4 linked regions of the Arabidopsis thaliana genome follow. The protein of the gene in region 4 interacts with the protein of the main gene of each other region in a pairwise test. Each region holds a gene or a part of one and is shown on either strand. Other genes may lie near its edges. The genes, in order: AT1G66760, AT3G52640, PIN5 and ARGOS.

What was found.
Region 1: the proteins of ARGOS (region 4) and AT1G66760 interact in a protein complementation assay, tested with the Arabidopsis thaliana proteins (one large-scale study listed by BioGRID).
Region 2: the proteins of ARGOS (region 4) and AT3G52640 interact in a protein complementation assay, tested with the Arabidopsis thaliana proteins (one large-scale study listed by BioGRID).
Region 3: the proteins of ARGOS (region 4) and PIN5 interact in a protein complementation assay, tested with the Arabidopsis thaliana proteins (one large-scale study listed by BioGRID).

What each region holds. Positions count from the first base shown.
Region 1 is NC_003070.9:24,899,993-24,905,545, reverse strand, and holds AT1G66760 (MATE efflux family protein), read right to left. Parts: upstream 3,665-5,553; 5' UTR 3,437-3,664; coding exon 3,188-3,436; exon of another isoform or gene 3,110-3,187; coding exon 2,565-3,109; intron 2,369-2,564; coding exon 2,282-2,368; intron 2,196-2,281; coding exon 2,139-2,195; intron 2,046-2,138; coding exon 1,807-2,045; coding exon of another isoform or gene 1,802-1,806; exon of another isoform or gene 1,716-1,801; coding exon 1,510-1,715; coding exon of another isoform or gene 1,492-1,509; exon of another isoform or gene 1,399-1,491; coding exon 1,333-1,398; 3' UTR 1,103-1,332; downstream 1-1,102.
Region 2 is NC_003074.8:19,514,359-19,522,899, forward strand, and holds AT3G52640 (Zn-dependent exopeptidases superfamily protein), read right to left. Parts: upstream 6,187-8,541; 5' UTR 6,060-6,186; intron 5,985-6,059; 5' UTR 5,933-5,984; coding exon 5,848-5,932; intron 5,758-5,847; coding exon 5,644-5,757; intron 5,560-5,643; coding exon 5,445-5,559; intron 4,884-5,444; coding exon 4,801-4,883; intron 4,653-4,800; coding exon 4,576-4,652; intron 4,175-4,575; coding exon 4,097-4,174; intron 3,479-4,096; coding exon 3,407-3,478; intron 3,305-3,406; coding exon 3,231-3,304; intron 3,133-3,230; coding exon 3,000-3,132; intron 2,893-2,999; coding exon 2,821-2,892; intron 2,735-2,820; coding exon 2,615-2,734; intron 2,397-2,614; coding exon 2,325-2,396; intron 2,219-2,324; coding exon 2,078-2,218; intron 1,888-2,077; coding exon 1,271-1,887; coding exon of another isoform or gene 1,267-1,270; exon of another isoform or gene 985-1,266; coding exon 720-984; 3' UTR 515-719; downstream 1-514. Other genes in the region: AT3G52630 (Nucleic acid-binding, OB-fold-like protein), read left to right, coding at 1-84, 174-238; AT3G52660 (RNA-binding (RRM/RBD/RNP motifs) family protein), read left to right, coding at 8,240-8,541. UniProt on the Arabidopsis thaliana protein: Probable subunit of the gamma-secretase complex, an endoprotease complex that catalyzes the intramembrane cleavage of integral membrane proteins such as Notch.
Region 3 is NC_003076.8:5,398,150-5,403,681, forward strand, and holds PIN5 (Auxin efflux carrier family protein), read left to right. Parts: upstream 1-2,490; 5' UTR 2,491-2,585; coding exon 2,586-3,247; intron 3,248-3,755; coding exon 3,756-3,841; intron 3,842-3,934; coding exon 3,935-4,092; intron 4,093-4,246; coding exon 4,247-4,323; coding exon of another isoform or gene 4,324-4,327; exon of another isoform or gene 4,328-4,404; coding exon 4,405-4,477; 3' UTR 4,478-4,696; downstream 4,697-5,532. Other genes in the region: ZFN3 (zinc finger nuclease 3), read left to right, coding at 5,288-5,345, 5,444-5,532. UniProt on the Arabidopsis thaliana protein: Auxin transporter regulating intracellular auxin homeostasis and metabolism. Mediates the auxin transport from the cytosol into the lumen of the endoplasmic reticulum. May also act as an auxin efflux carrier when located to the cell membrane.
Region 4 is NC_003074.8:22,126,939-22,131,238, reverse strand, and holds ARGOS (auxin-regulated gene involved in organ size), read right to left. Parts: upstream 1,735-4,300; 5' UTR 1,199-1,734; coding exon 806-1,198; 3' UTR 767-805; downstream 1-766. Other genes in the region: AT3G59910 (Ankyrin repeat family protein), read left to right, coding at 1-460. UniProt on the Arabidopsis thaliana protein: Promotes cell proliferation-dependent organ growth. Takes part in the AXR1-dependent auxin signaling pathway that requires ANT during organogenesis.

The sequences.
Region 1 (5,553 bases), on a different chromosome or scaffold from region 4:
ACTTACACAAATATGGTGACACAAGGCCACAAGCCTTTTGAAAAAAGAAAAAGCAAAAAAAAAATAAAGAAGGCCACAAGCCTTGGACATGAAACCTTCACCTTATATACTAGCAGATTTTTTTCTCCAACTTCCAATATGTACAAAAACCACTTTATCCATTTTGTGTATTTCATATACCCAACTTTGGATATCCATTTCTCACTCAGAAACAAACCTCAAATTTTACGTTTGAGTATACACTACAATCTACAAACTACAAAGATAGTGCTTGTAGATTAGATGAATCCAACGTTCTCAATGTAGTTTCGAGTGACAAATTTGCCGAAAATTAGTTTTCGGAAAAATGTCCAACGTAACATCCCAAAATTTAAGTTTCAATACCAAGTTGGGTTTATTGCTAGTTTTAGAATGAGGTTCAATTGAAATATAATTGAAAACCCCTCCTCTTGAGCAGGCGTATCAGGAATCCAACATTAAAAGTGTGATGTAACCGAGAACGTAATATAAAAATGATATGGGTCAATCTATTTATTGTTAGGAGTTCCATGACAAGACTCTTACGTTCATGAAATCAATATCTTGATGCAAAACTGAACTTGAACATGGACTGAAGCGAGGCTAGATTCATTTAACAAGACTCTCACGTTCGTGAAACCAATTTACTGGTGCAAAACTGGACTTGAACATGGACTGATGCGCGGCTGGATTCATTTGACAAGACTCTTACGTCCATGAAACCAATATACTATATTGGTGCAAAACTGGACTTGAACATGGACTTCTGCGAGGCTGGATTCACCTCATTGTATAACTGATTTTGCAAGTCCATACATTTTTGTTTCTTGGATTGATGTTGATTTAATTTAACTTTTTGTTAATCTTCAATATTATGTATGACGTGTCGTTGCTTCCACGTGTTTTCTGCCATAACAATTACCTACTCACCTTGACTCTTATGAGCATCTCTTGTCGGAGAAAGTATTCAAATTTGCTTTTTGACTTCTTTAATTCTTTGAGTATATCCTTTCAAGATACTCTCTCTTTGGTTCATTATTTGTTTTTTGGCCACGTAAAGTTGTATTATAGACTTTATAGTATAGAAGTTTTAAGCTTGAACCAATCAACTTTGGTCACTCTTTAATTCATCTATTATATACCAGATCATTTTTTAACTGAGATATATTTTCAAACTTTCTTACACTCTAATATCATATGAAAGACTATAATGTACTTTCAATATAAATTACAATCAACTGAAGGTTATTGCACAAACACACACAAAAAAAGAAGCAATCAAAATCCCCCAAAAGTTTGTATTTCTTTTTTTCTTCAATTAAGCAATGAGTCATGTCTCCAAACTTTCTCATCACCAATTCTCTCCCTAGCCTTAATTGCCTGCAAAATTTCATTGAAGAAAAAATGTGTAAACAAATATTAGCTCGATTTCTCGAAAAATCGAATGATGGATTAGAAACAGAAAAAAGCGAGTTACGCGGTTACAATCACCTCTTTGCTCCAATTGGTAAATCCAATAACAAGAAATAGGATTAGAGTTTGTAATGTTGATCCTGTGACTAAACCAGCCCAAAGTCCTTTCCCATTGAAGTGAAGATGAAAACACAATAGAAGTCCAACAGGAATACCAATGACATAATAAGAGGTTATGTTCACATAAGCTCCAATTTTTTGCCACCCTGTTCCTCTCACAATCCCTAAACAAAACAAAACATATATTCGGTTCACGTTCACAAAAAAATAATAACATGGTTGCAAAACCGGAGATGCGTGTTAAGAAAGGCTAACCGGAGAGGACGGTCAAGAAGCTGTCCATGAGGATTGAGATACAAAGAATAGGAGTGATATCAGTCACATAACTAATTACTTCCTCCACATTGCTATATGCATAAGGCCACACACTGCGAGACAAGAACAGACTAGAGCTCACAATAACTGACTCAACAGCTGCAATTATGATTGCAGCCGCAGCAGAATCACGAGCCCCTCGCGGATTCCCAGCTCCTAGCTCATTAGCCACATTGGTGCTAACCAACGAAACAAAAAAAAATGAAACATTAATTCTTCGAAAATAAAATGAAGTGAAAATTCGATGTAAGAGTATTAAAGTAAGAACAAACCTTGCTGCATCACCAATTCCATTTACTAGATTGTAATGCAATGAAGAGGTCGTGAGGCTGCTCAATCCCAAAAATTAAGGCTTAGAAAATGAAAGAAAATATAAGTATCACAGATTATATAGTTTTGCGGTTCGATACATTACCAAATCGAAATAACCGATGTTTCGAGCTTTGAGTTGGGTAGAAGACCAGACAGCAAAGTAATGACCTCGAAAGCTAACCACTCAAGGCTATTGAAGGAAGCAAGAGCAATAAGAAAATAAGTGTCAATAGAATATTAGTGAAGGGAAAAAAAATCCATTACACATTTATTTATGTAACCTAAGATTTTAAATCTTTCACCTATCCACAAAACAATGACCACCACTAGACTACCATCACTTGGTTAATTCTATATGGATTTTTAATAAAGTTGTACATACTTACCAACACATCATTGCAGAAGGAATGGCAAATTGAAAGAAGATATTTGTATGAACAAAAACATCCTTGGACATATAAATCCGCGTTTCGACACAACGACTAGAGCGTTTCATATAAACCCAAAGAAAAACCGCGTTGAGCCAGTAAGAGATACCGATAGACGCAGCCGCTCCTTTGGCTCCAAAATCAAATTTATGAACCATTAGCCAACAGAGAGGAACATGGAAAGACAGAGCAGCTAGAGAGCTCAAGACCATTGGATAAATCAAGCTTTGTGACTGAAAATATCGAACCAACGACTCGAGAACAGAGTAACCGAATAAAGCTGGTACCAGCCAGAGACAGTACACACCAGCTAACTCTGCTATTTGAGGATCTTGATGAAGCAACAGCAAGATCTGGTTCATGAACATCCAAAGAATCGAAATCGGAACAGAGATAATCAAAAGGAAAACTATTGAAGTGAAAGTGTAAGATCCAAGCTTGTGATATTGTTTTGCTCCATATGCTTGACCACATAGTGTTTCCAATGAACCTGAAAGTCCAAACTATATAGTATACAACAATAATTAGAAACAAATTAATCCAATACATATATATATATAAAGGTTCATATACTTGCTTACAAGAACACCAAAGCCGGTAACATTAGCAAAGGAGCTTCCTAGAGCGATTCCGGCGAGAGCGAGTTCGCTCCGGTGACCGACGATCATTGTAGAAGTTGCTTGAAGAAGGTATTGAGACATGTTCACGGCGACCATTGGAGCAGCCATTGAAGCAACTTTCTTCATCTTCTCCCATCTTATTTTTTCTTTATCTTCGTCTTGTGATTGTTTGGTGTTCAACAATAACGGAGTTTCGATACTCTTCTTCATTTTTTTTTTCTTTCTGGTTAGAGAAAATGTTGGAAGTTGTGTCGTATTTATTTAGCTTTATGATTTTGATATAATAAAATTTGTATTTTGATAAATAATATATGCGACGTCGCGACTCGAAGAAAAGAAAATAAACACGTTTCCGCTTCCGCGTATAAAAGCGAAATCGTTTTCGACTTTTATCATCTCACTCATTTAAGTCAAAAGATAGAATTCAGCACGTGTAAGAAGAAGATGCATCCTAACTAGTAACTAATAATTGGTTCCTATTTGTAGTTTGTACTTAAAAGATTTTAGTTGTGGAGTCTTTTTTTTTTTTTATGCCAGAGAAATTAATTAGACAACATAAAGTTTGTTTTGGTTGTATAGCCTTAAAAAGAAAAGTAAAACATGAATGGTTCAGTTTTAAGGCTTTGTGAGTTGTTGAAACTTTTTAGAACCTTTTACCAATCAAATACATTTGTGGTTAAAACTTAAAAATCATGTCGGTTCTTGAAAAAGGCAAGAGTGGTATTAACAATATTTTTGATTAGCATGAGATAGAACTGGAACACAGAACAATATAATACCTTAAGAGTATCAAACAGATATGAAAACTGAATTAGAATCGGTGTTTCCTCTTCAAGCCTTTACTAGTTGCTTCGCTTTGTGTTTCTTATCGTGTTATCTCTTGTATTCGTAGTTCCTTTAGTCGTAGTCTTTCTCCCTTTTTTTTTTTTTTTTTTTTTTTTTGCTTCTATTGTTTACTCTGTATTCTGTCTCAAACTTGAAAACGGTATAAATACTTAACATCGATACCAAAAAAAAAAAAAAAACTGAATTAGAAGATTTTTAAATGTATAGAACCACATACTGATCATCAGTTATTATTTAATTAGTCATAAAATGAGATATACATTTCTAAAGAATAAGGAATAAAAGTCTCTCTTCGTATTGATTGCATTGGCTCAAATCGATAAACATCGGTCCATGATCAATATTTTTAATATCATATCATTTATTTAAGTATTGAACCTAAGATGGCTTTCAGTGGTTACCATCTTACAATAGATTTTTTTTGTCAGCGTTAAACCACTTATGAGAAAAAAAATGTATAATATATGTAGTAATAGCTAGTTTTCAAAAGAACAACAAGATAAATTGTTATTTTGTCAATAGATGATATATGAAAAAGACTACTCATGACAGCGTGATTTATGTAAATTGTGTAACATAACTATAGATTAATTTAATATTTTATAATTATTTATATTATATGATATTTTTATGAATGGTTGAATTTTTTTAAAAATGGATATTTCTTAATCTGCATATTTAACTAAAACCTCTTATATTTTGAAACATAAAGAATACTCCTAGACTAGACATGCTGAGGCCTGAGAGGACAAATGAAACTAAACACATGTTTCAATACTGACCGACAGAAAGAAAAAAATAAATAAATGAAAAGAATAATAATAAAACACATGTTTCAACTTTAAATACATATCTCGATGAACCTAACCTAATCCACATCTCCATGTTAATTCATTGACAAAAACTCCAATCCATGATAATACTCCAATAACATAAAGTTTTAGTTTTCAAAATCATTGTTAAAAAGTACTATCGACTTTATATACTCCACAACATAAATTTGAAATTAGTCAGACTAAACCGCCAAAGTTAAGATTTTGTTTGTGTTTCTAAACAAACAAATTTTGCTCTACTTGATATCAATAATAAATCCGTCTCTTAATGACATTTTTTTTTACTATTTCGTTAACAAAATAGATGTAACTTAACTACTGATTACTAGTATTATTTTTGATTCAATATATCATACATACTTTTTACGTTTTAGTATAAATGTCATTTACAGGTTCTTCACATATAGTAAAAAAACAATTAGATTTTTTTGTCTATCGCTTATTAATATATTATACAATTTTTTATAATTGGTCAATACATTAAAATTGAATATTTACCAAATATCTACACTAAAAATAATAACAATACTTATTTTGAAATAAAATTTTAACACTAAAACGACACTTATTGTGAAAAGAAAGAAATGTATAACTTATAAAGTTAAAAGTTATAACCGAGAATATATGTATTCACAATGTCATTTACAG
Region 2 (8,541 bases), 2.6 Mb from region 4:
CTACTTACCTTGAGGTTATTGGAATTGCAGAGAGTGATAACGCTATTCGAGCTGAAACTTGGACCAATTTTGGCAACACTTTTGGTAATTTAGTGATTCCATTACTGTGTCGAGTTTATCAGATTTGCTATTGAGTTGTGTTTTGATGTTTTGGTTGTTATTTTTGGTTGCAGATACACAGAACTACAACGAGCTATGTAAGCTAGCAAATGGGGAGTTCAAGCACTTGTTCATCTAATGTTGTGATGATGATTATGATCATGGAAGCGATTCCATTAAAACATTTTGTAGAGATGCTTATGCTTTATATGTATTTGATGTCTCACCACTTTCTGGTTCTATGATTTTATTTACTTAGTATATGTAACAACTTCTTAATCTATCACAACTAAGCTTAAATTGCTGTTTTGTTAATTGAGGTACCAAAACACAAAACAAAACACTATTTTCTTCTTGGCAGCTAAGATTTTGCTCTGGATTTAGAATTGTATTGTTGCTTTATCTATAGGATTTTGTGAAAGCAAACTTTTTTCTTATAAATTTCTTGCCAGTGTAATAAAGAATTTAACATGAATTAGCTCAAAGACATATTTTAATAACCTTGGTTGAGAAAAAAGGTTTCTACCACTAAGGTATTGGTGGTGTTGCTGGTTAGGCAATGTCTTACGGAAACTGACAAGTAATTTTGAGCCGAGAGGAGAGGGAATTAAATACAAGTCTCAGTCCTGCTTCAAGGCTTTTGTGATGATTGACTTAGCAGCCAAAATTCCGATGTAAGCCAACGTTGTGACTGTAATACCTGCAACGAGGACTGCATTGTCGTATGCTGAGTGCTGGACTGTGTACACATGCACCCTTAAAGTGTCCCAGTTGCTTTCGGTCCACACTGGATCAACCATCCCCATAGAATCTGATGAGTTCTGTGGTAGAATTGTCCAAGCTCCATCGTTATACTTCAATCGAGTTGAATAAGCTGGAACATACCTGCCAAAACCAGAACTTAATGTGTTATGCTCAGACAGCAAATTGGTTAGGTCACATACAACATATCAGGTCAGGGGAAGAAGAAAATGATGATAGCTTCAATTCAAAGGTCAACAAACTAAAGATAGACTTTCTCCCAAGTCTAAAAACACTCCACTTCTGAAGCCTATCCTAATTAATAATTCCTATAAAATGCCTACCAGACTTAAGATTTTGGTTCATTTTGAGACATAAGAGAGAACTTGAGCATGCAAACCAAATTGCAATTTCCAAGCACAGAGTTTACCTGGTTGTGGAGACAACACATGTTCCTTCCTTGTTGCTCTCTGCTTTGATGCACACTTCGTCAGTTTTGCTACAGACTCCTTTTGAACAAACTGAGGTTGTATTTCCCTTTTGGACAGATGTTTTATCTGCCAGAAAGTTCCATAGGAATCTAGAAACATCACCGACGTAACCAAGGTAAGGTTTGGAGGAAGGTTCTCCGAGGATGACGCCAGCATAGTTGCCTGGACAAGTGTTTGTCGGTGAAATATAGTCTTTTACCAAGTTGCAAGATAAGCCCGGTTCACAAGCTAAAAGACAGGTTAGAAGCTCTTCAACGAAAGAAGCATTGACATGGATGGATCCCAGAGCTGAATTGCTTGTATCTTTGTTGTCACTTGCTAGGATGTAAAGTGTTCGGGCCACAACAGAAGCAGCAGCTACTACAGACGAGGAGTTGATATTTGCTGCAATACAACACCAGAAAGGAATCAAAAGTGCAAAATGGGGTTTGGAGCGAAAAGAAGAGAAAGACAGGCTGTGACTCTTCTTACACAAGTCATCGAGGTGACTATGGTAGAACTTATTCACAAAGTTGGTATCAAAGTCTTCAAGTACAACAGCTGAAGTCTGAGGGTTCTGCAACAATGAATATGATGTTATACCTTTTTCACTCTAGGCAATCTGGTTCAGAATCACATAATAGTAAGCAAGTATACTTCTCCTGTCATATTCATGATCAACTGAAGGTGAAGTATATGCAAAGAGTATAGTGCGAATACACATTTGAATTGTCTTCCCATCTATTTACTTGGAATATATATTGTACCTTTCTCATGAAAGCCATCAAGGAGGATGGGGGTATTCCAGGGTTTGCAGTATCTGCTGAAAGAATTTTGATGTTTTTTGATGCAAGTGAATCCTGAGCTATCTTTAAAGCATCCAGTGTCATGTTTGTAACTGAAGAAACCTAAAGCAGAACACCAAAAGTGGAGGTTAAGTCGCCTATGACAGTTTTCACATTATCGAACGAATTCGAATTATGCAAGAGTTTCAGGATATCAGGAATTTCTCACCCTTGTTTTATGAGCAAAGAAGGTGTTTATCCCTCCACTTAAACCTTTTCCAACAGATCCTATTTCAAGCACCTGTTAGATAATAGAAGAAGCAATCTGAATTCGATCTTTAGATTTAGAAAATTGTGAACATTCAATTTCACAAGGAACACTTAAACTTGCTTTCTGCGCTACTAAGAAACAAATAAGTTGCAGCAACGATGAAACACAGGCAACTTTTTCCACAGGGATTTCATGCATAAGGCTAGCTGTCTCTATCAACTTTGTCAGACCAAAACAATAATGATTACCGTTTCAATCGAAGTATTGCTAAGGCCTGCGACAGCATCTGAATGCAGATCTAATTCGTGTAAGAACCTCCTGCTGCCAAGGTAACCCCATGTCTCTCCGGTCAGAACCAAAAACACAAGCTGCATTCATTTACGATTTACATGTATTAAAGCTTGCAAACAACAAAAAGCGTGAAATAACACTAAATCACATGGTACACTGGCACCTGTTTTTTGAGATTACTAATACCATCAACTCGAGAAAGAGCATCAACTGCTCCTAGAAGAGCTACCAGACCCTGAAAGAAGGAGAACGTGTTGAGCAATAAATCGGGAAAAGAAGAATAAGAAGAGTAAATAAATGTATTCTAGATCAACCCAAAAGCAGAAAATAGCAAGTTCTCACAGATATTGGTGAATCTGCACCAAAACTTTTGTCACGGAAAAATGATGCAGTATCCATGGAGGCCACAGTCAGCACAACTGGTTTGCGATTGTTGGAAGACGAAACACTGATTGGTGGAAGCGAGGACCAAACACTGTCCTTCATAACAAAGTTGTTAGAAAACGAAACGTATCCTTTAAAAGGTTTTCATATGTCATTAGATCAGACAGTAATAAAGACCTAAATCTTTACCTATATCCGCCCAATGGGAGGCAAGTTCCCTCCTGCAAACAAGCCTCCGAATTGTGTGTTCCAGCTTTGGTAGTCTAATACAAAAAATAGAGAATTGGGTGTCATAATCTAAGTCAAAGTGAAGATCCATAAAGCTGGTTAACGTTCCAGTGAGCAAGATTGCTAAAGCCATATACCTCCATAACCATATTGAATTCAGCAACATCACTGGTATATGTTCCATGCTTCATCTTTTTCTTGGAAAGGATCTGCGCAAATATAATAGGATGTAAATATGTAGTCGATAACCTGAAAAAAGTGAAGCTATCCACATAAACTATACACTTTAGATTGCTACCAACACAACAGAAACATAAAGCTAGCTTCTTGACAGAACCTCATCTGGTAAGGACAACAACATACTATAGAATGACATAGTTGACCAGCAGTTTAAAGGCAACTACCACAAGACAAATGGAAAGGCTATGGTTGAGTCCAATTACAGGCTATGGAAAGCAACATGCATTTGAAATCTACAGATGCAGCTGGGAGTTGCCTTCAGCTGGATGAGACAAACATTCCAGGACCAAATTTGTATTCTTATTTAAAATGGGTAATCAATGCTTAGAAAAATTTCTGCAGACTAATTCAGTTTAAACTAGGAGTATTCATTTCATATGACCTTGGAGATACATATCTCATGCATCATTTTACAGCCATATTTTCATCAAGCAATACTGCTCTTAAGAGTGACCAACAGTCATAATGCCTCTCTAAGCCTTGAGTTCATTTCCTCATATTTCTAAAAATGTCATCAATTTCGCTTTTCTGACAACACAAATAGACACATTTAAAATTTGCAAAAGAATGCAAGTTTGAAGGATTACCTCATGCACAGCTGATATGCCACTTTCTGACAATAAGTACACAGGAAAATTATAATTTCTCCACATGATGCTTGATGCCTGCAAATAATCATTTTTTAGCAATGGTCAATGGCTAGAGACTTATCGCCTGCAACTACTCATAAGAATCAAAATCATTTTTTCTCCGTAGATAACAATAAGAGGAACTATCTTTTAATTAAGGTAGATAAATATGCAACAGATTTTTGAACTTCTTTATAAGTGATCATCTAGGCAGATACATGCATTCCTCCAGTAAAATTATACCATAAGAAAAGGATTTATGGTATTTGTGTGTTAGCAGGTAGTTAAGTTTAGTTCCAGAAGAAAACAGCATATAACTCGGAAATGCTTGACTATGGATTTGGTGATAACTGATTGAAACAATTTCCAACCCACTATAAAAGAGTTGACAGGAAGAAGTAATTTCAAAGATCCAGACAGAGTTTACGCTACCGTACAGCTGAATTCCATTTGTACTCAACGTTTTCATAGGGTGAAAACTGGGCTTGAGGAAACCTTTTATCAGGAGAAAACCCTACAATAAAGAAGAAAGAAACACTAACGCCATCAACATAGATAAGAAGTATCAAGTACTATTTTTAAGGGAATTAAGAACTCAAGACAATTTAAGGAATTAGCCATTCAAGTTGACAGAATCATAAATATGTGGATGGACATAGTACCTTTTAACTTTTGTTGGAAATTAGATCCTGATTCAACTAGAACACCACCAATTTTGCTAGCAAAGCTCAAATCAGTTGACACCCTGGAAAAGGCACAAAGAGGAGTGGTCCTGTTATTTCTACTGAATAGAGTGTCTAAGCGATGTACAAGTCTAATGAACAATGCCAGAAGTAAGCCAGACTGCAGGGTTCTACAGTAAAGTGTTTGGAGGTATACCTACTTTCCGTTAGTCGAATGAAAATAAAGCGGAAAAAGCCAATGAATTACTGGTTCCACTAAACACCTAATCCATGCACCAACAACCAAGTGACTACATTTCTAGCAGATTTCAAAAATGGTGATAAGAGGGTATACTCATTCCAATCTGTTGTTTCACTGTCATGGAAGATTACTAAAAGTGTTTGCCTTAAATACTCAAGTACTAATGAAAACAAACTCTTAGATATACGTTATTCTTAAGGATGTAATTGCCTTTCCAAAAAGGCTGATTTGGCACCCAAAAGCTAAATCTTGTTTGACGTTAAATAAAACACCAAAATGAGAACTACAAGCGAGTGGGAAAGCACTACTCCACAAATTAAGAGATCACTAACAAAATCGAATAGAGGTCATGAAAGTTTTGTAAATGAAAAAGGAGACATGCCTGGTAAAGAAATCTTCCATTTCATCAGCTGTAACCAAAATAGTGTGTGGCTGAACCAAATCTTTAACGTCCTTTAATTTTATGATTGGAGCCACCACTTTATTTATTCCAGGATCTGAGTATTTTTATAAACATAAAACTTAGAGGACCTCATCAACAGATAAAAATCATGTAGCTGAGAGGCCCAAAAGAAGCTTACTTGAACATCCAATCTCTCCAGACAGATTGAGAAGACGTACACAAGGAAACCCATCAACAGCAACATACATTAGCTTCTGAAGGTCAGGTACAGATTCAATAGATGTTATCTCATCTACACAAAACGAAACCTCAATTTCAGATTACAATGTTCTATCAACTAATACATTTCATCACCAATTTTATCCGGGGAAAGGAAACTCACCAGCGAGAGAGAGATGAAGAGGAAGGATTGAAAGTAGAACAAGTGTAAAAGCTATAGAAAGAAGACGAATAAGTCCCATTGCCATAGCATCCGTCAGAGAGTTGCGATTATTAGCGGAAGCTACTTGCAAATCATCGCTGCAGATACGATCAAGAATAATGTGACCGATTTTATAAAAGATCAAAAAATGTTAGAATCGGAAGAAGCAGTACCTGGGAAACGAAAAAAGGGGAAATTGGAAGAGAGAGCGAGAGAGAGGTCCGATTCGCCGGAGAAATGGAAACCTAGCTCGGAATTACGCGGTGGGAGTCTGAGTCAAAGACTGAGATTTTTCGTGTTGATTCTTATGTCTTTCAAAATTCCCAAGATATAGAAAAATTGAGGTATTCACATTTTGTGCGGATTTTATTATATTAAAAGTAATTAAGTGAACCTATCTATATATATATTTTTGCAGCCATTTTGTAAAATAAATCCTAGATTTGGAACTTATTTACAATGGCTGCCACTGGCTTTTATTTATTTATTTTCTTTTAGCAATAAATTGATTAACAAACAAAAAATATTCCAAATATATTCCAATCCCATATATCACGCAGATTTCTCCAAAATTTGAACTAGATTTCGGAAATTATTTAAAACAAAAAATATTTGACAAACCAAAATACAATTGCAATCCCTTAAAATGAGCAAAACGCACATAAATACATTTCTTATCAGTTCACTAAATCTTATTTCTCCAAAATTTGAATTAGATTTCGACAACTATTTAAAACAAAAATTTGTTTGACAAACTAAAATATAATTGCAATCCCGTAATTTTTTTTTTTAAATTAGCGGTGTACTACAAATTTTTTTAACGGGACGGGTTTGGCAGAACGGGTTTGGAAGGATGTTACTTAATAACAATTGTAAACTATAAAATATAAATATTTTATAGATAAATATAATTTACAGACTTTTATATATACTAATTTTAAAAAATAATTGTCTCCGCGGTGTACCGCGGGTTATAATCTAGTTGTTTATACAAAAAGAAAAAATATTTTCATTCCACATTTTCTTTTTTTTTTTGTAAGAAATTTGTATTACATTTTATGGCTTCATTTTTACAAAATCGTAGACTAATTATGATTGATTAGGGTATTATTTGCTAGATTATATAGGCAAGTTTTGGCTAAAAATTGATAAAAAAAAAAACATATTGTATATGGTAAAACTATAATTTTAAAGAAATTATTCCATATGTGATTTTAACAAATAACGTAGATCATGTATAAACTGCATGTTAATTAAGAAAAAACTAGTGTTAATTTTGAAAACAATGTGTAAAAAAAATATAAGGCGCAAATTCTCATCCAACTTGAAAGTTTTTTTTGCATAAAAATCAAATTTGTCGTATATTAAGATCGGTAATAAGCCGTAATATAAGATTGGTCGCATCATAATAAAAAGTGACTACACCTCCTTGATAGTCTCGCTTAGGCATCTTTTAGGTCATATCAATACAACATACACATATACATATTTTTCAACACCTGAGGTGCGCGAAGATAGACACTTCTTCATCCTCTCCGTAATTCTCAAAATTAGGGTTTTCTTCCGGCAGCTCTCTCAGGTACTTTCTCGCTCTTTCTTCTTTCATCTCATTGCGCCTCTCTTCGTTTCCTTTCGTGAATCTTTTTTTTTGGTTGGGGATCCAAAATTGGGATTTGTGTAACTCTTCTTATCTTAATTAAAAACTGAATCTTTCTCTCATTTTTGTTCCAATGATTGCTAAGTTAGCTTAAACACGCCTTTGATTGACATTTCTCTGAGTTATAGCTTTGTATGTGTATTGGGTTGTTCTTGGTTGTATCTATCATTGTGGTCAATTTGTGTGAAATAATCAAATAGAATTGTAGTTATAAGCTGAGGATTCTCTTAACAGGTTAGATTGGCAGCATAAAAAATATCACTTGCAAATTCTGAACAATGTCTGTTGTGGGAGATTCTAACATGGAGCTGGAGTTTTCTAAGCAAAGATACTATTTTGACTTTAGCCCTTCTTATCTTTCTTGTTGCCATGAATATTTTAACCTTCTTTGCATCTAACCAAGGCCTATGATATCATGGTTTTTATCCGCTCTCAGGGGTCATTTCGTTTCTTATCTTTTTTTGTTTCACCTGTTGAGCATTTCATCGCCCTCTTCTCTCTTTGTCTATTTGTTTGTCACCTTTTTAGCCGCATTATGGCAAAGCGTCAATTCGAACTTCTTATTCTTCTTTTCTATTGGCCTCTTATTGTTTCTTTTCCAACCTTTCCTCGGTTTTATTCTCTCTCCCCACTTGCTTCTTGCTTCTGTGTCTCCTCCACAGTTGTACTGCAAGCATTCTTTTCTAGATATTTAAGATGTCAAGGACGAGGACTGCTGCTTCTGAGGCTCATGACTCCATGGAATCTGAGGAAAGGGTAGACCTTGATGGTGACAATGATCCTGAGGAGATTCTGGAGGAGGAAGTTGAATACGAAGAAGTTGAAGAGGAGGAGATTGAAGAGATAGAAGAGGAGATAGAGGAGGAGGTTGAAGTGGAAGAAGAGGAGGAGGAGGAGGATGCTGTTGCAACGGAAGAGGAAGAAGAAAAGAAAAGGCATGTTGAACTTCTTGCACTTCCTCCACATGGTTCAGAGGTTTATCTTGGAGGGATTCCTAC
Region 3 (5,532 bases), on a different chromosome or scaffold from region 4:
AAGGAACAGATTATTGTGAGCCACAAAATAAATTAAGAAATAATACAGTAGTGAAGTCGTTTCAAACAGAGGATTTATTCCACCTGCACTTGGAGGAGTTTCCTCTTTTCATAAGTCTAAAGAACAAATTTGCCTTTAAGAATAATTCTTCTGTGTTTTTTTTTAATATGGAATTTGAATGAAAGATTAGTGTGTGGATATGGATAATTAATTATATTTAAAAAATTATGTAATATTGATATGTTTGTAGTTTGGTTTCCCTTTCTATTGGCTGCTATTTACTTCATTCTTTCAATGATTGACGTTGAACTTCTTTTCGACCAAAATCAAAACATCCTCTCCTTTATGTATAACTTTGTTTCTTCTGATTTGATTTGTAACATTAACATGATTACATTTATATATAGTATATAATACGTAACCATGCATTTAACTTGGTACTTGGATTCGTTTATGAAAGATTGAAAGGAAAACGAAAGTTATATGATCACTACTCTTGAATTCGAACTCTAATTTAGGAAGAACAGTATAAACCCCAACATATAGTGTTTTCTGGTCTGAAAAACTTTGATTGTTTTGTTTTTGTGGTTTGGGAAAAAACATCAACATAATATTCATGACGTCAAAAGTACAAAACAAATAAGATGGATTTTGAATAAACTTTCCAATCGTGCTAGCTAGCTATTTCTGACATAATTCAAGAAGAATAATGAAAATATGTCACACAAAAACAAAAGTATTAACGATGAATGAATGAATGAGAGAAGACAAAAACCTTTTTGATATTAAAAAGACTGTAATATATATCAACACATCAGGAGAGAAATTTGAAAGCATATTATAGATTTGTAATCATCAAGTGATAAATAGAACTTATTCTACTAGCATTATTATTCATATTTATATATGATCCCTCAATTTCACCAGTGAATAAGCATCCTCCACGTTTTCACAGATTTCTAATCCACCGATTTTAACTTTTGTTCCATCAGTCAAATCCCCCTTTTTGTTTTTGTTTTAGTCCGACTATATATATTTGTTTGCTTATGTTTTTCTATTTGTTCCAAATCTTTGGTAAAGATAGGTGTTTCCATAAAATGTTATTATCAAATCAAATGATAAATAAATGCTTTCCAGATCATTTTATGCCTCTGCATGATTCTCTAGTAATTAGATCAAATCAATTTTCTCATCATGAATATGTGTAATAGAAAAGACTTTGTGAATGGACAATATATATGGTTACAAAACAAAAATATACCATAGAATTAAAAAGTGCTAATATGATGATATTGCACCTAGCAATATGTGTTGTTGTGATTATATTAGAGTCCAGAAGGCAAATAATAAATTTGTTGTCTAGCAAGAAAGGACAAGAGCACGAGGTACAAATTTTTCTGTAAACTTTTGTAGTTCTTGAATGGCTTCCTCAATCCTCACGATGATAGATTTTTCGCTAGCTCGTAGTATAATATGGTTCTTTGATATTTTAACAAAGAAGAAAGACATGGCCATATGATTTTTTATCGAACGAAACATAAAAAACAACGTAAAACATGGTTTAAGATAAAAGTAAGTAAGTTATTTGTAGACTTCTCTATCTATCTATATATTAACATATTCTAAAACCCATGACATGTTATTTCTTAAACCATGAATATATTGAAACATTCAAATCATCACTAGGTATAAGTAAGTGAAATTCATTTTCTTATAAGAAATCTCTCTTTGTCGGTTATGAAATTGGTTGCTATCGCCAGGTCGTAGGGCACAAATACCCATTTCGGCATATATACAAACTATTCCATGCACTTTACTTATATTACATGCACTAGCATAGTTCTGCTCCCATTTTATGAAAGTGGTTAATAAATATAAATATTAAGATTAAGAAAAAAACGATTAAGCAAATATTTCGAATAAATTATTGAAAATATATTATTTGGTTAGTCTCATGTGTTGTGGCGACGAGTTACGACAGCCAAAAACATATATTGGTCGAGACGATCTTCTAGTTATGGTGCTAAAGCTGCAACCTCATTCTTTATTCTGCGACATTACCATTAATTAATATAGTCAAATATTGAAAGAAATGTTTACGTCATACACAAACACTACACTCACTATTTACAGGAAACAATTGGAATAGAATCATATGCCACGGCACGGTCTGGTCAATTATATTGATAACGATAACTCTCTTGTTTCTCAATTAAACTAATGGCTAAAAATATGAGGTTGATTTTAATTTTTTTATCTAAATATTTAGACTCAAATTTCAATTGTATCTATTCTATAGGAATTTAGCCAAATTATTTATAAATATTCGTAATCATATTCCGAAGAAAAAAATATTATTGTTTAATTTATATCTAAACTTTACTTTTGTTTGAATATTACTCATGGATATCTCATTACCTATCTTTTTTCTACAACAAATAAAACAATTAAAAATTTATCTATAAATATGAACATGTTGGTTTCTCTATCGTAACACATTTACTATCTACGAACGAATTTAGAAGCTTTGTTTTCTTTCCTTTCGTTTGCTACTACTGCAACATTTCTATTTTTCTGATAAAACCATGATAAATTGTGGAGATGTTTACAAGGTAATCGAAGCAATGGTTCCACTCTATGTAGCCTTAATCTTAGGCTATGGCTCTGTGAAATGGTGGCACATCTTCACGCGTGATCAATGTGATGCTATAAACCGTCTCGTTTGCTATTTCACCCTGCCGCTCTTCACCATTGAGTTCACGGCCCATGTCGACCCGTTCAACATGAATTACCGGTTCATCGCGGCCGATGTCCTCTCTAAGGTCATCATAGTCACGGTCTTAGCGTTGTGGGCCAAATATAGCAACAAAGGAAGCTATTGTTGGTCCATTACTAGTTTCTCTCTATGCACTCTTACTAACTCTCTTGTCGTTGGTGTGCCATTGGCTAAGGCAATGTACGGACAACAGGCTGTTGATCTGGTGGTTCAATCCTCGGTATTTCAAGCCATCGTGTGGCTCACACTCTTGTTGTTTGTCTTAGAGTTTAGAAAAGCCGGATTTAGTAGTAATAATATCAGCGACGTACAAGTAGACAACATCAATATCGAAAGTGGAAAAAGAGAAACTGTGGTTGTGGGAGAGAAGTCGTTCCTTGAGGTCATGTCCCTCGTTTGGTTGAAGCTTGCAACGAATCCAAATTGCTATTCTTGCATCCTTGGGATCGCATGGGCTTTTATTTCTAACAGGTAAAAATGAATCTTTAATTAAACTTTATATTGGTACCTATAAGATGTTTAACAAAGTGTTAATTAGTATGTGTGATCAGGGACTCAGGAGACTACATTAATTCCACCCCTTACTCCGAGGCAACCGTTAAAATTGCCTAAAAATATCTATAGTTTGACGTTTAAACCATCTAAATTATTACTTTTCTGTGTAGCGCCTGATGATCTATAGTTAAAATTTTGACAGAAATATAGGTCACGATTGTTTCTTTGCATTTGCGTTTATATTTCCATGTGACAAATGACTAGGACATTTTTAACATGGTAACATAATTTGCAAACGTGACATGTACATGCAAATAAACTAATCATGATTTTAATCTGAATATTAGAGTCTTTGACCAAATTTCTATTTTATTTGTTTTAGTGTGAATTTTGGGTTTAGGGTTTTGATTAGTGTTTTGTATACTCTTGGCTAACAAATAAAGACTTAAGTCTAATAATTGATGGAAATTAATTGGAAATATAGATGGCATCTGGAGCTGCCGGGCATATTAGAGGGTTCGATTCTTATAATGTCAAAAGCAGGAACAGGAACGGCCATGTTCAATATGGGTACGTTTATTTATGTCCATGCAAGTATCTTTCTATACGTAAAGATTACGTATCAGTATTGAGATAACAGTGAATACATGCATATATACGCAGGAATATTCATGGCACTTCAAGAAAAGTTGATAGTATGTGGAACAAGCTTGACTGTGATGGGAATGGTATTGAAGTTTATTGCCGGACCGGCGGCCATGGCCATCGGCTCTATTGTCCTTGGCCTCCACGGTGATGTCCTCCGCGTAGCCATCATTCAGGTCATAAATTCTACTTTATCCTTTTGTACCCTAATTCTACTGAAGTTTGTATATAAAAAAAAAAGTAGATCATTTTCCATTCATTCATCCACTAAGATACTAACTTTATATTTTTCAGTTTAATATATCATTAATATTTATATGAAATTTACAGGCTGCTTTGCCACAATCGATTACTTCGTTCATTTTTGCTAAGGAATATGGATTACATGCAGATGTTCTAAGCACAGCGTAAGTCCAAATTTTAAAAATTCAGTCTATTTAAGAAGAAAATGGTAATATGAAATTAAATTAAAATTTTGATAAATGTAGGGTGATATTTGGGATGTTGGTCTCTCTACCTGTGCTCGTCGCCTACTACGCAGCTCTGGAGTTTATTCATTGATTAAACTAATAAATTCGATTATATCATCAATATTACCCTTTGTTCATCTTTCACAAGTTTTTTTTTTTGTTATCTCTTTTACACTTTCCTCCTAAAGGAGATTTTGAAGTATATTCGAGATATGAAAACCATTAACTGAATGAATTAACCTAGTTTATGCTTAATTTTATACTTTCTTAAGCTCTCTTTATTTTCGTAGTATGCATAATTTAGTATTTTGTTCACATATACGTATCAAGAAAAGATAAAAACTCTATAAATGAAAATACATCATGTTCGGATCTAAAATTGTTTTAATACGTACACTAAATATTATAAGCCCTTTTTTTGTTAACAAAAAAAAAAAAAGAATAAATGAAACGAAATTCAGGTTAGAGATCAAATAAAATCTTGTTATTATTTGATTCATGATCATACATACTAACCAAATCAGGATTTATGAAATAAATTATTCTTTCTCCTCAACCGAATCAATATGAAGATAAAAGGGGTAATTTAGTCTTTTCGAATTCGTTTTTCTTACCGAATCTCTTTAGTTTTTTTTCTTTCTTTTGTGTGGAGGAGAGAAGAGAACGCAACACTTTCTTCCCAATCTCTCTCTGCTTTCTCTCTCTAGACGTGATCTCTAATTCTCTAATGTCTTCCTGCATTGCCATTTCCTCTAACCCCTCCACAATCGGAGGAAGACGATTCCTGGGAGCAAGAGAAACGATGGGACTTCCCATCGGAAAATCTCTTAGAGTGAGAGAATTATGGTGTGTTCTTAATGCTTAATAATCACCGACACAGCCATTGTTCTTCATCATCTCCATGGATTTTGATTCCATTTCTCGGGAAAGCACTTTTCTTTCCCCATTGCTTAACCAAAGTACCATCCTTTATTCCCTCTCTGATGTTCTGATTCAATCTTAAAAACCTCAGCTTGAATTTTTGTTGTGGGGTTTTGGTTGGGTTTGTGAATTTTAGATGCAATGTGGCAAATGAACTTGGGATCAGATGATACAATGGGTGTTGATGGGTCTTATCCGGAACGTCACGGAGAGCCAGATTGTGCT
Region 4 (4,300 bases):
GTCTCTCCAAGGAGTAGAGTTTCTTCTCAAATCAGACTTCTTAGGAGATTCCACGGCTACATACTCAGTGGCAGACAGCATCGCAAGGTCATCAGAAGACGAATCCGTTCCTTCAGATCTAAAATCGTTTCTCCAAGAACACTGGTCGGAGTCAGCTTTTGAGAAAGGAATGAGAGAAAGCCATGACGATTTCATGAATTTCATGAGAGTTTTGAAAAAAGGGGAGTCAGCGATATCCTTAAGAGACCTTCCTGCACCGCTAAGAGTAGCAATAGCGTACATGCCGCTGTACAGAGAGTGCATGAAAGCGGACGGTCGGTTACTGTCTCAGAGGCTAAGAGGACAGCTTGTAGAAGCAGTGAGACAGCTTCAAGGCTGTGCTGTTGCAGTTGTGGAAGTAAGCCAGACTCGTAACCTTATGGCGGTTTTGGAGCATCACCTTACCGCCATTTTCGATTGAAACAAATGGATTCTGCTTTTGGGCTTCACTGGTTTTCTAATTTCTACGAATAGTTGAAAATAAGCAAATAAATACTACGATTTAAATTAACGGATATTGGGATTTGGGTTTGAGATGACGAAGTGAGGTTTTTTTTTTTTTTTTGTATAATTTCTTCTTATGATGCTTCTATATTATGTCAGTCTCTTCTCCTCCATTTCTCTTATTGTGCGTTGAAGTATTCTCACATATATATATTATGATAATTTAATGTAATATTTATAACTTACATTTATATTGTATATCAATTTCATTGGATTAAGAACCCTAAGATTAATTAAGATCATCATATAATAAATTTCAGATTTACATGAAATTGCAAGTTACATCTGTATTAGCATTAGAATGAGAAGAAGGCATGAAGGCAAGAACGACGAGTAAAACCATAATCCCAATGGGAACCAATAGCAGCATAAACGGAGGCGGAGGTAACGGCGGCAAAACTAACGGAAGTATTAACAGAGATGCCGTTAGACCAACCAATAGGAACAGAGACTCTAAACTGAAATAATTCGCCGGGATCATCATCCTTTTCTGCGCCGAGAAACTCCGCCGTAACTCTTGCTTGCTTTTCTCCGGCGAACTTCGAAAGCTCATGTTTTTCCGGTTGTTTCTTCCGACGTCCATGACTCGGTTGTTCGAATAACTGTCTTGAATGTTTATAATATCTTTTTGTAAGTTTGAGATTTCTCGAATCATCTACAGAGGTTGTTTTGCTGTGTCTGGTTTGGATTTAGAAGATCAGTGACAAAATTTTGCTCAAAGATCTGATCTTTAGGGCAACTGGTTAACCAATGCAGCTTGATCGAAGCAATTGGTGAAGAATTCGAGACAAAATAAGGATGGCCCACGATTCAGAAACAGAGGATGCAGAACAAATCCGAGTTAACTCAACGATTCAGATGTAAAGGAAGAAGCTTTGAGGTGAAGGAGTTTGAGAAGCTTTGTGTATTGGTTTTGGTTGGATCAAGAAACTGTGTGAAACAAGTACTAGTAGGGAAATGAGGAAGACAAGTAGCAATGAAAGAGGAGAATTTATTAATAAAGGAGTTGGAGGAGAATCAGAAGATATGGGGGGAGAAAGAGAGAGAAGAGGGTTCAGTGAATTTAGGGATTTTCTGATATGTTGAAAAGACGAAAAAGAGGAACGTTTATTATATAAAGGGGCTGACAAATGTGAGGAGAAGCAAGTTGCTGAATTTGAAAGATTTGAATTTCGTGTGGCCTAGTCTTCCTCCACAATCACAAGGTTCTTCTCCCCTGGTCTTCTTTTCTCTTACTTTTTCTACCATTTCTTTTACTTATATAACATATGACGTAAGCTACAATCTCCTCTGATCTGAATATGTAAGTAGTATTTAAATAAATGAGTTTTAAAACCATCTTTTTACCATTCTATAAATTTTTAAGAAAATAATTTTCTAGTTTATTTTGAATCATCCAGTTATTAATATACAGGTTGATTTTTAAAATTTTATAATCAAATATTTGATGCGATGAGGAAATTATTTTTATTAACGTACCTACCAATAATTTTGTCGATGTTTATGGATAAATAAGGACCCATAGTGTTGTTCTTCTCGAAGCACTTCATATGGTGAATGCGCTTGTTCTACCAGGAAATGTTGGGCCAATATATGTATATGCTCTCATATTTCTATATATAAAGCCAAGTTAAATAGCTAGGAATGTTTTTCAAATTAATTCACGATGCTATTTTTATATATTTACGTGTATATGGAGATCGGACATAGTAACGTGACAACACGCTTTGCATGTGAAGTCTTGATGAGAGGATGGTTTTTAATAAAGCCAAGATGTTTATATCGCCAGAGGATGAATTCTCACAGAATGATGAATTAAAGCAAATAGACTTCGCTAGTAACTCAGTCGGAAATCACTTGTTACTTTTAATATATAAATATAGTTAATCCCATAAATATAATTCATGGTTCAATGAATTGAGAAACATATAGGCCATTTCCTTTAGAAACAACGTCAAGTGGTTTTATTAGTTTTTTTCCTGGCCTTTAGATACAAAAAAGCCGATGAGTAGTTTGGGAGAATTGATAGATTACCAATACTACAACACTAGTTATCCACATTAATTGTGCAGCATTACTTTAATTAGGCCAAATTAACAATATACGAAGACTGCAGCTTCAGATATTAAACTATTTGACGTGTACCAACAAAGTTTTTTGCATGGATGACAAACCCTAAATTAATAATTTAGAATGTTTATATCGAAAGATCCGCTAGTTTCTACTCCTACTCTACAGATACGAAAATCGTATATTTAGGGATGAGAAAATGGATCTCCTTGAATCGTTGACCAAAAAAAGGAAAGAAAATTGTCAAATGGATCTTCTCAGCATAAGCTCAACTAAAAAAATCAATTTATTTGTGTTTAGTGTTTGTCTCTACAATCAAGAGAATACTTTTACTAAAATATGGGTTCATAAAAATGTTCACTGAATGTATACACTAGTAACCAAAACTTATTTGGTGCGGTTTAAGATTTATTTTTTATTTAAATAAAAGTACTTCCTTTTAAGTTCTTTGGAAACAAAAGAATTAATCAGTTTAAAATTCAGTTCACTTGTGTGTTTGTTCTTGGATAGATATACAGTATTACGATTAAACATCTCTATTTGTACGTTTTTAATTAGTAATGGAATTTGTTTATTGAAGACTAGATGAGTAAATAATGGTGGAAAGTTAAGATGTAGGTGTGTATATATGGCAACCCATGCATGATTATTGCCTTGAACACCGCACACATTTAGATTGGTGTCCAGTGGACCTGTATCAAAAAGTTCAAGAAAAAAAAGTATTATCATAATATTATTCCCTCTGTCTTACTAATAAGTCAGTCATGTTTAAATATTGCTTCTTCTTGTTTTATATACCCTACTTCTAATTTAATTGATTTTCGACAGTCAATATGCATAGACATATGTTTTGGTCTAATTCTTAGACACTTGATGCATTACAATAATCTCAATAACAAGGTCCATATGCTCAGTTTCATAACGTTCGCGAATTTTAAAGATTTTTGTTTTGGTCAGCTTTTTTAGATTTGATAATATTATTCGATTATTATCTTGTGAAATATTATTCCATTATTATACTAAGTATAATTTGAGAAAAAGATTACTACAGTATAATTTGAGAAAAAGATTACTACAGTATAATTTGGTTGATTTGTAAGGAGAAAGGCGATCGATGAGACACTGAGGATCGAACCACATGTAAACGTCACGTGGCTCTTTGCCTTTGATTCAATGCATGATCTCTCGAGTCTCGACCAAACCAACTTGCCTAATTAATATTCCTCGTACGACTCTTTAATCCCCTTTTTTGTTTGCTTAAAAAAAAAGATTACAAATTATTTTGTTTGTTGTTTTTTTTTTTGTTTTTTTTAATCCCCTTTGATACAAATTATTTTGTTATTGTGGAAATTTAACCCAAATTATTTGAAATTCTTTCCCCGACAAGCATCTCTTATTGTGGTTGGTCTAATAGGATTAATGGTCGTTTTCGTGAGTGATGTTATCATGAAACAAGTTAATTGAAAAGTGTTCATAATTTGGTTTCCAAAATTTAGGAGTATGATTAGGTTCAGAGTATCATAAGTTTGTATGTCTTAGTGACAAAGACAAGAATAGGTATACTTACTTTTATGGGTTAAACCTTTTCATTTTATCAAGCTTTAATTAATTAAAAATCACAGATTGAAAGGGAAATTAAACGAATGACGAGAAAAAAACAATGTATCTGCTGCTTACCTGAGGTCGG